Saccharomyces cerevisiae S288C: one gene and its partners. Changing the gene in region 2 together with the main gene of any one other region gives a genetic interaction. Each region holds a gene or a part of one and is shown on either strand. Other genes may lie near its edges. The genes, in order: PHO86, MSC7, RHO2 and WHI5.

The links.
Region 1: mutations in MSC7 (region 2) and PHO86 together harm fitness more than expected from each alone (negative genetic interaction), as found in Saccharomyces cerevisiae (3 studies listed by BioGRID).
Region 3: mutations in MSC7 (region 2) and RHO2 together harm fitness more than expected from each alone (negative genetic interaction), as found in Saccharomyces cerevisiae (2 studies listed by BioGRID).
Region 4: mutations in MSC7 (region 2) and WHI5 together harm fitness more than expected from each alone (negative genetic interaction), as found in Saccharomyces cerevisiae (2 studies listed by BioGRID).

The regions. Positions count from the first base shown.
Region 1 is NC_001142.9:190,572-194,473, reverse strand, and holds PHO86 (Pho86p), read right to left. Parts: upstream 1,944-3,902; coding exon 1,008-1,943; downstream 1-1,007. Other genes in the region: SUN family protein NCA3, read left to right, coding at 1-614; YJL118W (uncharacterized protein), read right to left, coding at 2,176-2,835; ribulose-phosphate 3-epimerase RPE1, read left to right, coding at 3,384-3,902.
Region 2 is NC_001140.6:183,505-188,765, forward strand, and holds MSC7 (meiotic recombination directing protein), read right to left. Parts: upstream 3,306-5,261; coding exon 1,371-3,305; downstream 1-1,370. Other genes in the region: PUT2 (1-pyrroline-5-carboxylate dehydrogenase), read left to right, coding at 1-200; RRF1 (Rrf1p), read left to right, coding at 562-1,254; VMA10 (H(+)-transporting V1 sector ATPase subunit G), read right to left, coding at 3,669-4,010, 4,173-4,175; BCD1 (Bcd1p), read left to right, coding at 4,420-5,261.
Region 3 is NC_001146.8:454,374-457,837, reverse strand, and holds RHO2 (Rho family GTPase RHO2), read right to left. Parts: upstream 1,274-3,464; coding exon 695-1,273; downstream 1-694. Other genes in the region: TOP2 (DNA topoisomerase 2), read right to left, coding at 1-134; NST1 (Nst1p), read right to left, coding at 1,708-3,464.
Region 4 is NC_001147.6:477,304-481,230, reverse strand, and holds WHI5 (transcriptional repressor WHI5), read right to left. Parts: upstream 1,699-3,927; coding exon 811-1,698; downstream 1-810. Other genes in the region: LPX1 (triglyceride lipase), read right to left, coding at 1-644; TGL5 (triacylglycerol lipase), read left to right, coding at 2,043-3,927. UniProt on the Saccharomyces cerevisiae protein: Transcriptional repressor that negatively regulates G1-specific, SBF- and MBF-dependent transcription. Binds via SBF to promoters of G1-specific genes to repress transcription in early G1.

The DNA of each region.
Region 1 (3,902 bases), on a different chromosome or scaffold from region 2:
CTGGAATGTCAAAGACTCAATGGCCTTCTGACCAACCAAGCGATGGTAAATCTGTTGGTGGTCTTTACTGTAAAAATGGTTACTTGTACCGTACCAACACTGATACCAGCGATTTATGTTCTACGGATGAAACATCTGCTAAGGCCATTAACAAAAAGTCTGACTCCATTGCTCTATGTAGGACGGATTACCCAGGATCAGAAAACATGGTGATTCCCACAGTGGTTGATGGTGGAGATTCACAACCAATTTCAGTCGTTGATGAAGACACTTATTATCAATGGCAGGGTAAAAAGACTTCTGCTCAGTACTATATTAACAACGCCGGTGTATCTGCAGAAGATGGGTGCATTTGGGGTACTTCTGGTTCGGATGTCGGCAACTGGGCTCCACTAGTGTTAGGTGCTGGTTCCACTAATGGAGAAACATACTTGTCGTTGATTCCAAACCCCAACAGTAACCAAGCTGCCAACTTTAACGTTAAAATAGTTGCATCCGATGGCGCTAACGTTCAGGGCAGCTGTGCGTATGAAGATGGCTCTTTCACCGGAGATGGTTCCGATGGTTGCACAGTTTCTGTTTTATCTGGATCTGCTGAATTTGTTTTCTATTAAGTCATTCTTCTTTTCGGTAAAAGAATGTCTTGTATTTTGATACCCTCAATTCCCCTTATTATTCTTTTTCTTCCGCTCTCTATTTATTATTATACATTGGGATTCCGTTATATTTTTCTCCTTTCAGTTCATTTTACTTCTTAAAAAGTTTCGTTGATCGCTATTATGCTATGGATTCAAAGATTTTCTTTTCTCTCTCTTCAAGGTGTACTCTGCATTACGGTTTTCTTTAGTTCGTTTATTTTTTTTTTGTTAACAAGGTGTTTGTATACATATATATAAATATATGGAAATATTATAGTGTTTATTTTGTTACTTCCTGCGAGTTGCAACAGAACTAACAAGATGCCATGCTGTTTTTTTTCATTTTTTGGCTATAAAAATAACAGTATCCTAGTCCTTGTGTTCGGCTTTAAAATGGAATTGCAAACCCCATAATTCCTTCTTCACACCGAACAAACCGCCTAGTAGTCGATTTTCAGAGACTCTAATGCTTTGAATATAAGTGAACCCTTTTTTCTTCAAAATTTCCTTAAGCGTGCTATCGAATGAGTAGACATCAATCAAGAGTTTCATGGTCTCCCCGTATTTGCCGCTGCTTCTAATATTTTTGGAGTGTAGCATAGCCCAATCAATCAAATCTTCGATAATGCCACTTTTTACATATACACGACGACAACCCACAGTAGTAACACTCATGACTAAATTTTCATCAGTACTTAATGTCATGTTAGGGGCTAACGAAATCAATGCAATGGGCGTTTCTCTATAAACGATGATATGCGTATTGTTCACCACTGGATCCTTTGTTTCATGTCTTGCCACCAAATCATTCAAATTGATGCCGAAAACTTTCTCACCTTTAGAACCAACAAGTTGGTTGATCTTCGACTTGAAATACGAGTCAGATACACGTGAGAGGAGGGTGAACAAGAAAGATGCACCAATTGCGGTGAACACTAAACCGCTGAGGACGACCTTCTTATTAATACGAGCCAGCTGGTAGAACCATCCAGCAACGGATCCTGTATTCCTTATCGGAAAGACAATTCTTGGCGTCAAGTAAATAAGCAGCCCAATGGTTAGAACAACAAGGATGACGGGATGGAAGAACAAATACTTATTAGCCAATGCCTGTTCTTGTCTGATGAAATCCGCGGACAAATTCAATGCAGCTGTACCATATTCTGGTTTCAAATTAACACTGTAAATAGTAGGAGGAGCATCAATATCAAGTGGTTTGTCTAATGATGCATCTACTTGTGGGACCGATGGGGCATTTTTATCGGACTTTCTACCCTCTTTCTTCTTTCTTTGTTGAACCGCCATTGTGCCACTCTTCCTACTCTTGTACTTTCGCTATGAAAAAATGTGCAACTGGAAGAGTCGTAATCAATCTAGAAAACTTAGTAAAAGTATGTGCTATATATCTATAAACATGAAAAGCTTTATTTGTGTGAGAGAGAAAAAAAGATGTTCTTTGGTCGTTATTCATTATAGTTTCCATAAAGAGCACGTGCGGGCGCGCTGGGTAATGCGGGTGTGAATTTTCAGTTATAGGTCAACTACAACAGCAGGTCGAGAGGGCTTCTTCAGAAAGCGAGAGGTCGTACCAGGGATGATGTTGCGGGAGCTGCTGTTGCTGCTGCTGATAATGCACCAGTGCAGTTGGACTGGGAAGAGCAAGTGGAACAGCCACCATCTGGATTTCCATTATTGGGTACATATTTGAGAGTGGACGCTCGATGCGATGTGGTCTTCGACGCCTCCGCTTCCTCTTGATGGCTACGATCCTCAGACGAGGCCGTTTGCGTCTCTTAACGTGTGTGTGTTGTATAATGGGAGAACAGGGTTGTCTCTCCTCGGTCTTGCGCTTTTTCACTCGCAATACAGCATGCCCAAGAGTGCAGAGCCTATCAATGAGATAATTGATTAGAATAGAATTTATCAGTGGGTCGACAATAATGAACCACTTGACAACGGTCTTGGCCGCACGTAAAACCTGTGTGGTGCGAGAAGCAACGAATCTGTATACAGTTGATACAGAACGTCGGATCAACAAAATGGGGCGTGATGAAGAAAAAAAGTGGCGATCCCGTGGAGGACATTGGTGCATGGATGATTCAATCATACAATTTACGACATTTAACCAAAGTTGCACTCTGATGGGCTCAACGACTGCTACTCGTGCCAATAATGAAACTGAAAAGCATGAAGCCATCACTGTTTTTTTCGTGGTCTTTCTATATATAAACAAAGCCTCTGTAAAGTTTTTTTTTTTCGCATAACAAACGCGCTTATCTGAGACATAACAACAGCCAACGACCGATGCCTGCGTGGAATAAACAATAATACGCTGCAGAGGATAAAAAGAGAGGTATCATGTCTATTTATTCTCTGCTTTTCTAATCAAATGTGTATTGTATGCTGAACCATGCCGGTTGGTTGCTTCTTCCGGTAATTGCATTCAAGTCCTGCAACTTTAAATGTCCTCTTATAAAGCAGGACGTGGCTTCAGAAACAAAAAATGTGTCGCCAAGAGAAAACAAGAACAGCTATCCAAGTCGAGCTGGGAAAGTAATCAGATTTTTGTATATGTATAGGTACTTTCTTGATCCGTAAGCTGGAACTTCTTTCATGATCTCTGTTATAGGAAAGCCAGAATAGAAAGAATCCGCCCGTAAAAAGAAAAATAAAGCAAACTCGATACAATTTCATGCAAGAAGGCCATTTGCTAATTCCAAGAGCGAGGTAAACACACAAGAAAAAATGGTCAAACCAATTATAGCTCCCAGTATCCTTGCTTCTGACTTCGCCAACTTGGGTTGCGAATGTCATAAGGTCATCAACGCCGGCGCAGATTGGTTACATATCGATGTCATGGACGGCCATTTTGTTCCAAACATTACTCTGGGCCAACCAATTGTTACCTCCCTACGTCGTTCTGTGCCACGCCCTGGCGATGCTAGCAACACAGAAAAGAAGCCCACTGCGTTCTTCGATTGTCACATGATGGTTGAAAATCCTGAAAAATGGGTCGACGATTTTGCTAAATGTGGTGCTGACCAATTTACGTTCCACTACGAGGCCACACAAGACCCTTTGCATTTAGTTAAGTTGATTAAGTCTAAGGGCATCAAAGCTGCATGCGCCATCAAACCTGGTACTTCTGTTGACGTTTTATTTGAACTAGCTCCTCATTTGGATATGGCTCTTGTTATGACTGTGGAACCTGGGTTTGGAGGCCAAAAATTCATGGAAGACATGATGCCAAAAGTGGAAACTTTG
Region 2 (5,261 bases):
TTAGCGCAGGAAATTTCTACATAAATGATAAGTGTACTGGTGCCGTTGTTTCTCAGCAATGGTTTGGTGGCGCAAGAATGAGTGGTACCGACGATAAGGCTGGTGGTCCAAACATTTTAAGCAGATTTGTCAGTATTAGAAACACAAAGGAGAACTTCTACGAGTTGACTGATTTCAAATATCCATCGAATTATGAATAAAAAAATTTTTGTGGAATAGAACCGCGAATGCAGTCACTTCATCCATCAACTCATGTAAATGTTAGATTATCGAAAAAAGGGTTTTGATTACTTCATTAGGTTTTTTTAGTTTTACAATTTTAATTTATCTAGGTAAATAGTTTAAAAATATTCATTGAACCAACCGTCCAAATTCCCGTTCTATATTCTGTCATGACTTACTTATTCACGTTGCTATTTATTCGCCGCATATTCATTCTGTTTTTGGCATAAGGACCCGTCCGGAAACAGAACATCAATTTATTAAATACGTCCATTCGTAAGCTTAAAGATGGAAACTTTGGCGAGCAGTCCCTGACAAGAAAAATAACAGCAAGAAATAATGATTTTAACCACAGCTAGATTAAATTGTAGACCAGTCACCGTTCCTCGTCTATTTAATCGTTCTTTTAGTCAATCTTTCATAATTTTGAAGAAAAAAAGTTCTACCCCTACTGAGAAAGTCGAAGAAGATGAAATTGACGTGAATGAACTGCTGAAAAAGGCAGAAACTCAATTCAAAAAAACTTTAGAAATTCAAAAACAGAAAATGAATGAGATAAAACAGGGAAATTTTAATCCTAAGGTATTCAATAGTTTAGTGTTCAAAAATAACAGAAAGTTTACAGATATTGCTACCACATCCTTGAAAGGTAAAAATGCACTTTTAATAACAGTTTTCGACCCCAAAGATGTGAAAACTGTGATCAGTGGGGTGCTTGCTGCGAACCTGAATTTAACTCCTGAAAGGGTCCCAAATAACGATTTGCAATTGAAAGTTTCGTTACCACCACCAACTACAGAATCCCGGTTAAAAGTAGCTAAAGACTTAAAGAGAGTATTTGAAGAATATAAGCAGTCATCGCTAAAAGACTCATTAGGAACTATCAGAGGCAGTATTCTAAAGGAATTCAAAAGTTTCAAAAAGGATGATGCCGTTCGAAAAGCTGAGAGGGATTTGGAAAAACTGCATAAGGATTACGTGAACAAGCTTCATGACCAATTCCAGAAAGTTGAAAAAAGCATTGTAAAATGAGGAATTTCGTAACGTGTATAGAATCAAAAAATCATAAATCTTGTACATAAAAAGTTCATTTTATATAATAATAAATACCAAATTATTGATAAGTTTGTTGCTTCCTCTAAAGTAAACTAGCTGGCTTCTTTAGCTAAAGAGAACAGTGACTTTATTCTTTGCCATGTGGAATTTGTATAAGCTCCTACGATGAAACTCTTTACAAAATTCCAAGCCTTAGCATTGTTACGAATAGGGTAGTCTAATGGTTTTGGAATTTGAGTGGAGACAAAAGGCAAAGTATCAAAACAGACACTTTTGGCATTGCACAAACCCAAAAGACCTTCTTCACCACCAAATTTACCGTAACCTGAACCATTGATACCACCAAATGGTAATTGACAAACATAGAATGTAGCAAAATCATTAATGGCTACATTACCAGTTTGTAGGCTATTTGCGACGTAATTGCATTCCTTGATATCCGCACCAAACACAGAACCACCTAGACCAAATGGCGCAGAGTTGGCTAGTTGTACACAATGGTCAGTATTCTTAGCTTTCATCATGACTAAAATTGGGCCAAACACTTCGTTTTGTGCTATTTTCATTTCTGGAGTGACATCCACCAAAAGAGTTGGTTGGAAATAATGACCTTGTGGATACTTTGGATGTTTGAAGCGGGAACCACCTTGAAGTAAACGAGCTCCCTTTGCAACAGCATCTTTAACCAAAGCTTCTAGTTCATCGAATCTGTTGTCAGATATCATTGCCCCCATATCAACATTTTCTAAATGATCAATATCAGACCCTTGGCGTAGTGGATTTGCAGTCATACGGTCATTCAAAATCTTGACTAAATCATCATAATTTTCCTTACTGACAATAACCCTCTCAATACCAATACAATTTTGACCGGATGATTGGAAAGTACCCCTCATGATGATAGAAGATAAAGCATCTAAATTCTTAGCTGAGTCTAGGACAATAAACGCATCCTTACCACCAAGCTCCACAACTACGGGTGTCAATGATTTGGCAGCGCATTTTAGAATATAGTGCGCTACGGGCTGACTGCCAATAAAAGTGATATGTTTGAAACCAGGATGAGAGGTGAAATAATTTGCGGAATCATCATTTTCAGTTGGAGGTAAACAATAGCACAACTGAACCAAATCTGGATCTTCATCACAAGCTTCCAAACATTTGCGGATCAGCTCGACGAAAAATTCCGAAGACCAGACAACTTGTTCTGAACATTTTACTACAATGGCATTCCCTGTGAACAATGCTGCAATAATTGGACCCAATAAGTTATGGAATGGATAGTTCCAGGAAACGATAGAACTGATCACACCCAGTGGTTCATAACGGATTTCTGCACCTTTATACCACTTCATGAAAAAATTAGTGGGGCCCGGACGTCTCGAAGGTTGCAACGCTCTTTGGCCGTGCTTTATAGTCCATTGAATTTTTTCTAAAGTAACCAAGATTTCACCCATCGATGCGTCTAACATTGTCTTTCCTGAATCCCTGCACGCTACTCTCGCAATAAGATCTTGATTATTTAGAATATAATCATGCAAAGAAGCCAAAACTCTCAATCTTCTTGAGAAATCAGAATTGCCCCAAGTAGATTGAGCTTTGCCTGCCTTAGAAACCATTTCATCTATGTCAGCTTCCGTTTTCGATGGAAAAGAACCTAGATATTGACCTGTGGCGGGACAATGACATTGAATAAAGTTTGGTTCTTCAGGATTCCATATGTTAGTGGAAACAGACCTCTTGCCCTTCCAATTATTTTGAGCGGCCTCTGGTGCAGGAAGGGAGAATTTGACTGGCTTATAGGACGAGGAACACTTTGCTGGGGTGGAGATTATCTTGACCAAAACATACAGAGTGAAAATTGAGGCAACTAGCGTTGTAATGCCTATCAGTTTTTGGTTATCTTGAATAATTTGGGGTTGAGAACGCATTATTGCGTTTTGCTTCTCCAACCATAAGTTAAAGTAAGCTTGAACTGTGGAGTTCAAATGGTTAATCATGTCTGAATTCAGATAGACCTTGGACATGATGAATAAACGTTCGATAAAACAGAGGAGAAACTGAACGTGAACTGTGAAAAGAATTCTACTATTCTGCAAATACTATTATAATTATATAGTAATCCCCATCGGCGTTTAGTATTTTTCGTTAATAAAATAAAAATAGAGAGACCATACTTTCTCCTTTACAACCGATATACTAAATAACACATTTTTGATTATACTACTACTCGTTTAGCAGATAGAGAAAAAAAAAAAAAAAAAAAAAAGGCTGAATGGATAAAGCGAGAGTCGTAAAGACCGAATGCAATGTCAGTTTATACATTTTTATTCTATTGGTATTATATTATAAAAAGATATATGATTAGAAAACTAGAATGTAATGCAATATTACAAGGCATTGATATGGACTTCAGCAGAAGGCTTGATGACAGTCTCGATCAAAATTTTGACAACGTCATCCTTTTTCTTCTCTGCAATTTTCTTAATCTCAGCTAATTCACCTTGCACACCAGCCTCTGCTTTCTTTTCCAATTCACCAACACCACCGGCATTCTTTTGTTCAAACTCCTTCAATTCCTTGTCTTTTTGAATTTTGTATGAGTCGATTTCCTTGGCTGCATCAGTCTTGGCTTGCTTCAACTTATCTTGTCTGTACTTTCTAGCCTTTGATACTATTTCGTGGGCTTCCTTTTCAGCTTGTAGTAGGGTGGCAATTCCGTTTTTTTGGGACTAAAGAGAATATTACATAGTTCTGAGCAACAATGAAAAAACCAATACCTTTGTCACGAGGTACCAGTCCAACAAGAGAGCACAGTTTTAAAAAAGTTTTTCATGTTAGTAAGAACGCTTGTTAGAGACAGAAGTGTTGACACGTAATGTAATGGCACATACCATTCTGCTTTGTATACCTTGCACACTTTGGAGATTGCAGGAAAAAAAAAAATGTATTGTTTAAGGTGTGATTGCTTTATCTATCACGCTCCCTTTTAGAGATGAAATTTTTGATACCCAAGGCAGGGTAACAAATTGAAAAAAAAAAAAATTCGCGGTAATAATAGTGGATGTCAAAGTTCATATTCGATGAGATGAGCTGGAATAGGAGTCCAGTTAATAGGGAAGGGTGTGGCAATTTGCAAGTATGGCGGTGTTGTGTGGTGTATGCGGAATAAAAGAGTTCAAATACAAGTGTCCAAGATGTTTGGTGCAAACTTGCTCTTTGGAGTGTTCCAAGAAGCACAAGACAAGGGACAATTGCTCAGGTCAAACACATGATCCTAAGGAGTATATATCGAGTGAGGCGTTGAAACAGGCGGACGACGACAAGCACGAACGAAATGCTTATGTCCAGAGGGACTACAACTATCTGACGCAGTTGAAGCGAATGGTGCATGTACAAAAGATGGATGCTAGAATGAAGAACAAGCGGGTTCTGGGGCCTGTGGGCGGCCACAACTCTAATTTCAAGAAGAGAAGATACGATATAGATGAGGATGATCGTGATAGCACGGAGTGTCAGAGGATAATTAGGAGGGGGGTGAACTGTTTGATGCTACCCAAGGGGATGCAGCGATCATCGCAAAACAGGAGCAAGTGGGACAAAACGATGGACCTATTTGTATGGAGCGTGGAGTGGATTCTATGTCCTATGCAGGAAAAGGGTGAGAAAAAGGAGCTTTTCAAACATGTCAGCCACCGTATCAAAGAGACAGACTTTTTGGTGCAAGGGATGGGCAAGAACGTTTTCCAAAAATGCTGTGAATTCTATCGCTTGGCTGGAACAAGCTCTTGCATAGAGGGCGAAGACGGTTCGGAGACCAAAGAGGAAAGAACACAGATCCTACAGAAGAGTGGGCTCAAATTCTACACGAAAACGTTCCCTTACAACACCACGCATATAATGGATTCAAAAAAACTGGTGGAGTTGGCTATACATGAGAAATGCATCGGAGAATTGTTGAAGAACACCACAGTGATCGAGTT
Region 3 (3,464 bases), on a different chromosome or scaffold from region 2:
TCTTCATCGTATATCCATTGCAGCTGCTCTTGAGTTTCAACAGAACCGATATAAGTGTCTGGTCTTTTTAAGATATGTTCCAGTTGAGAAATTTTCTGATATTTATCAGAGGCGCTTACCGGTTCAGTTGACATGGTTAGCCGTGCTGGTCGTTATAAACTCCTTTAACTGAAACAGAAAGTTAAAATTGTCGTGGTTTGCTCTACGACGTGGTTGGATTATATGAAAGATGATCTCCTCTTTTCTTTTCTTTTTGTCTCCTTCGGCAATTCAATAATATGTTTACATTATACTGAAAAAAAAAAGACGCGTCCTACTGGCGCGTCTTTCACTCATCGCCTCGTAAGGAATTCGAATACAAATAGCGTAAATAAGTAAATAAGTATATAAACGAAAAATAATCAAACTAGGCAGTTCCGTTTAGCTCATCGGCGCAGTACCTTGAGCTATGGTTTGATGTGCCATTTTCTTATATCCGTCGGAAATTTTGCTTCTGGTAAAGGCTCTCGAATAAGAATCTGTAGGACATTAACGAACAAACATATCGAATGGGTTTGTGTTTTATACATGCACTATCGATAAGCCTTTTTAACTTATTCCATTATATCTATGAAATTTGATTAAAATTATAATACGGTATTGTTTTTCCCTCCCTTGCTAAAAAGATAATGTATCATTTCAGTGTAAGTTTTTTTTATAAAATTATGCAACAGTTAGCCCCTGGTTCCTTCTTCATAAGCAAACTGGTTCTTGTAGCTACTTCAAAGACATCATCCACACCCTCACCAGTCAGTGCACTACATTCCATGTATTTCTTGGCCCCAATGGCCCTTGCAACTTGTTTTGCATCTTCAATGGGAACCATTTCATCGGTAGCATTCTCTTTAAAATGGGCTTCTTGCCTCAAATCTTTTTTCAAGCCTACAAGAACGATTGGTGCGTCAGGACAATATCGTAATGCCTCATCCGCCCATTTCGTCCTTGCGTTAATTAGTGATTCAAAATTGTCTACAGCAAACCCAATTAATATTATATCTGCTTTTGAATATGAGAATGGACGTAAACGTTCATATTCCTCTTGTCCCGCTGTATCCCAGAGCGTTAAGGACACTTTTATTCCGTCAACTCTGCAATCAGTGACATAATTCTCGAACACTGTCGGATGATATTGTTCAGGGAATTTTCCTAATGTAAATACATATAGTAAAGAGGTCTTGCCACAAGCACCATCACCAATAATAACAAGTTTCCTTCTAACGGCCTTTTCAGACATAGTACGGGATCAAAAGCACAACCAAAGCAGAACGTTTCAGCAATTGATGTCTGCACACAAATCGTTTACAGCGGTATGCAAGGGCAGTTTAATTAAGACTTAATCTGGGGACTTTTGGTTCAAATTATCAGAATAACTACCTTTGGAGAGTTGCGCTTTGAATAATTGTTGTTGAACAATTGATATATGTTATACCTAAAAAAGAGTGTACCGAAGTCTATTATCATATTCACATTCCTGCGAAAAATGGAAATTAAATGCCGGGTAAGATGTATGGGGTGTCGCAGCCTCACCTCTAAAGCCACGACGGTAAGAAAAACCGACGCGTGGCTCACATCGAGTAGAGAGATGTACGATTGTTTAGTGTCTCTTCTGAAATTTCGTCGAATTATGTATGTATGTAAATATTTTTGGCCCTGCGTACCGGAGCAAATTTAAGACGTTTGCGTAGTTGAAGAGGCAATTGGAAAACTAGCCCTTGTGGAGGTATGAGGCCTTGACGTAAATGGTGTAGCAGTTGGATCGTTCAATCCACTAAAGAGTTGATTCAGCAACCCCTTTGAGTGGCCAGCGGGAGTTTGTCTCGCAAATCGAACGTGGGTAATGGATCCATTGTTATCAGTAAAGAATTCGCAATTGTAGGCTCCTTGCATGCTTATCAATTTGTTGATAAACGTCGAGTAATCCAAGTTAAGTCCTACTAAATTTTGGAATAGTGTCCCGATAGCAATGTAGGGGTTTAAACTATCTTGTGGGGAAATAGCTAAATAAGTATTGTAGATGCTATCCAGAATGTGGCTTTCATCCACTCCACTCGAAATTTGAGGGGATTGAAGGACGTTGCTAGTCAAATATGGTGAATTGTATTGACTGTTACTAGACCAGATATTTGATGCCATGAACGCAGGGCTATCTTGCGCAGTACTAGTTATATTGCGACCGGAAAGCTCGGATTTATTCATCATCGGAGTGGTGCTGCTGTCCCAGATAGAAGTTCGATTTGGAAACGATTCAACGCTTCCTAATGTAGGTGCGAGCAGCATACCGCTTTGTATACTGCTGTTGTTAAAGTTTCCTGCAGTCGACGGTCCCGAAAATGAGCTTTTTTGATCATTCCACACAGAACGCTGTGATGGGGGGAATCCTGATGATGAAAGTGATGTATCTGCGAACCCGGAAGAAGAAAGCATGCTAGTTAAAGTGTTCAACTCGTCGGTAAACGATTTACGGTGAGTACCACCATTAGGTAGTCCAAAAGATGGCATTGTAGCTTGAGGACTAGATTTATGGGCTTGTGATTCCATTTCTGAAGTTTGAATAACCGGTGGTTTACATGTAGGATTTATGGACATTGTATTTGTCAGACCACCCCAAGATGATAAACCAAAGTCATTTGGCAATAGCTTAGTTGGCGATGAATTATTATGCATCAATAGACTTGTATTTTCCAGAGTTTGTGAGTTCATTAAATAGTTGTTTTCAGTCTGTAAAGAAGATTTTGTAGCCAAGTCTAACGCATTCGGAATAGTTGTAGTTCCAAAATGGTTGTTTTGATTACCTGGCTGTGGCAAGTGTGATTGTTCCATAGCAGGCATCTGGTTGTTAGTTGAAGGAAGAAGTAGATCATGAACGTTAAAGCCTGTGGGTGAAACTGGTTTGGATGCAGCCACGCTATTAACCATTTTAAGTATTTCATCGTTGATACTGCAACTATTATCCTCTTGGTAGTTAGTCATGTTGGGATGTGATTGAGATGAAACAGGGTTGCCAACTCCATTCTCAGTAAAAGGTTTGGCGGAAAGTATGTTCGCAGATGTTTGTTCTTCGTTTAATTTCTGTTTTCTTAGCGCATCCTCTGCAATTAATCTTTGTCTCTCTTCTTCTTCTTTTTCTTTCTGTAGCTTTTCTTGTTCTAGCCTTTTCTGTTCTCTAATACGTTTCTTTTCTTCTTCCCTCTTGCGTTTTAGTTCCTCTTTCTGTTTCCGTTGTTTTTCTTGCATTTCTTCTCTCCGCTGCTGCTCTTCCAATCTACGCTTTCTCTCCTCGTCTTTCTTCCGTTTGGCTTCTTCAACCTTTTTCCTTTGAGCCTCTCGTCTTCTCATTTCACGCTCTTCTAATTCCTTCTTTAGCCTTTCTTTCTCTTCTTCCCTTTTTCGTTTTTCTTCCTCTTTAGCTAACTGTTGCAGCCTCT
Region 4 (3,927 bases), on a different chromosome or scaffold from region 2:
ACATATTCGGACTCGTTAGCGAAATGGTCGCACGTCTTTAAACGTAGGGAGTTATAAAGATTTTCTGGGATCTGCGGAGAATCGGGCGGAAGCCCTGGCCTCCCGGCGCCGATGGCTTTCCGTGTGATTACTACAGGCTCGATCAAGATGAGCAAATGAAACAGATTGGGCTGCAGGACGTCACACGCAAGAGCCTGGAACCCGCCCATCGAGTGGCCGATGACTACGTTTAGTGCCGGGTGGCTGTCAATACTGCCCAACTCGCATGTGGCAATCTTGAGCACGTCGCGGGCCCCGTCGATCCAGTTGAAATTGGTGCCGAGTCTGCCGCGGTTGCGTACCGCAGAATCACCGTGGTTAACCTGGTCGATCAACAAAACCTTGTCGATGGCATAATTGCCCTCCGCATCGGCGGCTACCAGACGCGGCAAATAGTACTCCCATACCACCTTACTCATGCCGCTGCCGTGCAAAAACACAAGGTTAAGCCTAGTGGCAGTGCGAGAGCGGCGTTGCCGCTCTGCGCTAGTGTACACATCGTATGTGAGCTCGAGGCGATCTGTCGCACACAGCGTCGACTGCGGTGCGCGCGGCCAGCTAGCGCTACAAGTTTTCGTTTCTTTCTTGAACCTGTTCTGTTCCATTTTAGCCGCGGATGTTGATCGGCGGATACGCAGAGATAAGCAGAGTACGCACTAGTGAGCTTTTTTAGCACGCACATTACGCACTTTATATATATGCTAAAGGGTGCAGCAGCGGGCGCGGCTGCACTAACTCCGAGATTGCGGAGAAAAAACTCGTACTACCACATTAAGACGTCTCCACTTCGGTATCCGACTCGGGCTCCGTTTCGTCCGTGGGTTCTCCAGCAGATGTCGCCGGCACGGGTCGGTGTTGTTGCTTCTTGGTAGGCGACGACAATAGCATCAGTGTTTCGACAGCCGTGGCCTCCTCCCGTGGTGGGTGGCCTCCGAGCGCCTGAAGAAACGCTGTATGCGCGGAAGTACCCGCGTCTGCACTATCTGGAAATCTGTTGTGATAGCGACGTGGCGGCGTCTGCACTGCTGGAGCAAGCTCCGTCTCCAGCTCGGGAAGTGTCTTGTCCGTCCATCCATTTTGCAGCTTGACTAACGCGTAATTGAGCCTGGTGCGCAAAGTATGTGATATTTCGCGGATGGGCCGCTCGCCCGTAGACCGACGCGCAGCCGTCGGAGGTGACCTCAAACGCGGCGACGGCGACAGAAACACCTCCGACCGTCTTGACTTGGGCGTTGTCGGTGGCAACAAAGGCATACTAACGTGTCCGTCGTACTTCTTTTGATTTTCATTTTCTTCTTCATTTTCGTCGTCCTCACTCTCACTTTCGTGTCCGTCGTCGTTATGGTCATATACACGTCCATGTGCGGTTATGCCGACACGACGCTTATTGACGGGCGACATGAATATACCCTGAAGACTCGTTGTCGACGGCCTTCTTCTCGATTTAGTGATGCTTTTCGTTATGCCTGGTGGTGACGGCGGCGATGGTGTTCCAAAGCCATTTTTGAGACGTACTGGCGTGCTCAATAGAGTGGTTGGCCCAGGTCGCTGCTGATGCTCGTTGTTTACATGTGTATCTGGGTTCTGTACCTGCTCTTGTTCTTGTTCTTGTTCTTGTTCATCGCTAGTCCTGCTTCTCTTCGGCGTTCTCAAACTCATATTCTTCAATGTCTCTACTATTTTTCGTTGCTATTAATATCTGGTTGTGCTTTCTTCCATCAGGTTCTTTGCCTTGTTTTGCCTTTGTTTTGTTTTGTTTTGTTTTGTTTTTTTTATTTTTTTCGTTCTGCTCTTGAAGTTTTCGCTTCCCTTTTCCCCCTTCCCTTTAGCACCAGAAGTCATGAAACAATTAGTAAATCAAGAATTATCATTAAGGCAGCGCGAGGAATTATATAAAACAAAAAAAAATAAAAAAATAAAAAAAAAAAAAAATAAAATTCGAAAACAATAGGAGACAAAAGACATCATAAACAGCACAAGGAAGACGGTTCTGTTTCGTTGCTATGTCTAATACCTTGCCAGTAACAGAATTTCTTTTATCCAAATACTACGAACTTTCCAACACTCCTGCCACAGACTCATCATCGCTCTTCAAATGGTTATACCACAAGACTCTCTCCCGTAAACAGCTGCTCATATCCGATTTGTCTTCCCAGAAAAAACACGCCATCTCCTACGATCAATGGAATGACATAGCGTCGCGATTAGACGACTTAACGGGACTTTCCGAATGGAAAACAATCGACGAGTCCTCGTTGTATAACTATAAGCTGCTGCAAGACTTGACCATCCGTATGCGCCATTTGAGAACCACTCACGACTACCACCGCCTGCTTTATCTGATTAGAACTAAGTGGGTCCGTAATCTTGGCAACATGAATAACGTTAATCTTTACAGGCACTCGCATACCGGCACAAAACAAATTATACATGACTACCTAGAAGAGTCTCAAGCAGTGCTCACCGCGCTGATCCATCAGTCAAATATGAACGATCACTATCTCCTCGGTATTTTGCAACAGACGAGAAGAAACATAGGGCGCACGGCTCTCGTGCTTAGCGGTGGGAGCACTTTCGGCCTTTTCCACATTGGTGTTCTTGCCGCCCTTTTTGAATCGGACCTGATGCCTAAGGTGATCAGCGGTAGCAGTGCTGGCGCCATTGTTGCCAGCATATTTTGCGTCCACACGACCCAGGAAATTCCCTCCTTGTTGACCAATGTACTTAATATGGAGTTTAACATCTTCAATGACGACAATTCCAAATCTCCCAACGAAAACTTACTAATCAAGATATCGAGGTTCTGCCAAAACGGTACCTGGTTCAATAATCAACCTTTGATTAACACAATGCTTTCGTTTTTAGGAAACTTGACCTTTAGGGAAGCCTACAACAAGACTGGAAAAATCCTGAATATCACAGTCTCGCCTGCTTCCATATACGAACAGCCGAAACTACTAAACAATTTAACCGCTCCAAACGTTCTCATCTGGTCTGCCGTATGCGCATCTTGTTCTCTACCTGGAGTTTTCCCCTCCACGCCGCTATTCGAGAAAGATCCTCACACTGGAAAGATTAAAGAGTGGGGGGCAACAAATTTACATTTATCAAACATGAAATTCATGGACGGATCTGTAGATAATGACATGCCCATTTCTCGTCTTTCTGAAATGTTCAATGTCGACCACATTATCGCCTGCCAGGTAAATATACATGTCTTTCCCCTGTTAAAGTTTTCAAACACTTGCGTTGGGGGTGAAATTGAAAAGGAAATTACCGCCCGTTTCAGAAACCAAGTAACAAAGATCTTCAAATTTTTTTCCGACGAAACTATTCATTTTTTAGACATCCTAAAGGAGCTTGAGTTCCATCCCTATTTGATGACCAAATTGAAACACCTTTTTTTACAACAATACTCTGGCAATGTCACAATTTTACCCGATCTATCAATGGTTGGTCAATTCCACGAAGTATTGAAGAACCCATCTCAACTTTTCCTATTGCACCAAACTACTTTAGGTGCAAGAGCTACTTGGCCGAAAATTTCCATGATTCAAAATAACTGTGGCCAAGAATTCGCCTTGGATAAGGCCATCACATTCCTAAAGGAGAAAATAATAATCTCTTCGTCAATAAAAAACCCTTTACAATTCTACCAACCTCGATTCAGTGAGCAAATCAAATCTCTTTCCATAATGGATGCTGACTTGCCGGGAGTTGACTTGGAAGAATCCTCCTCCAATTCACTATCAATTATCAAGTCTCCCAACAAAACAGCGGCACCGGGAAGATTTCCTCTTCAGCCATTGCCTTCTCCATCTTCTACCTTCAACAAGAGGAAAATGGATATGTTATCGCCTTCTCCATCGCCTTCTACATCTCCACAAC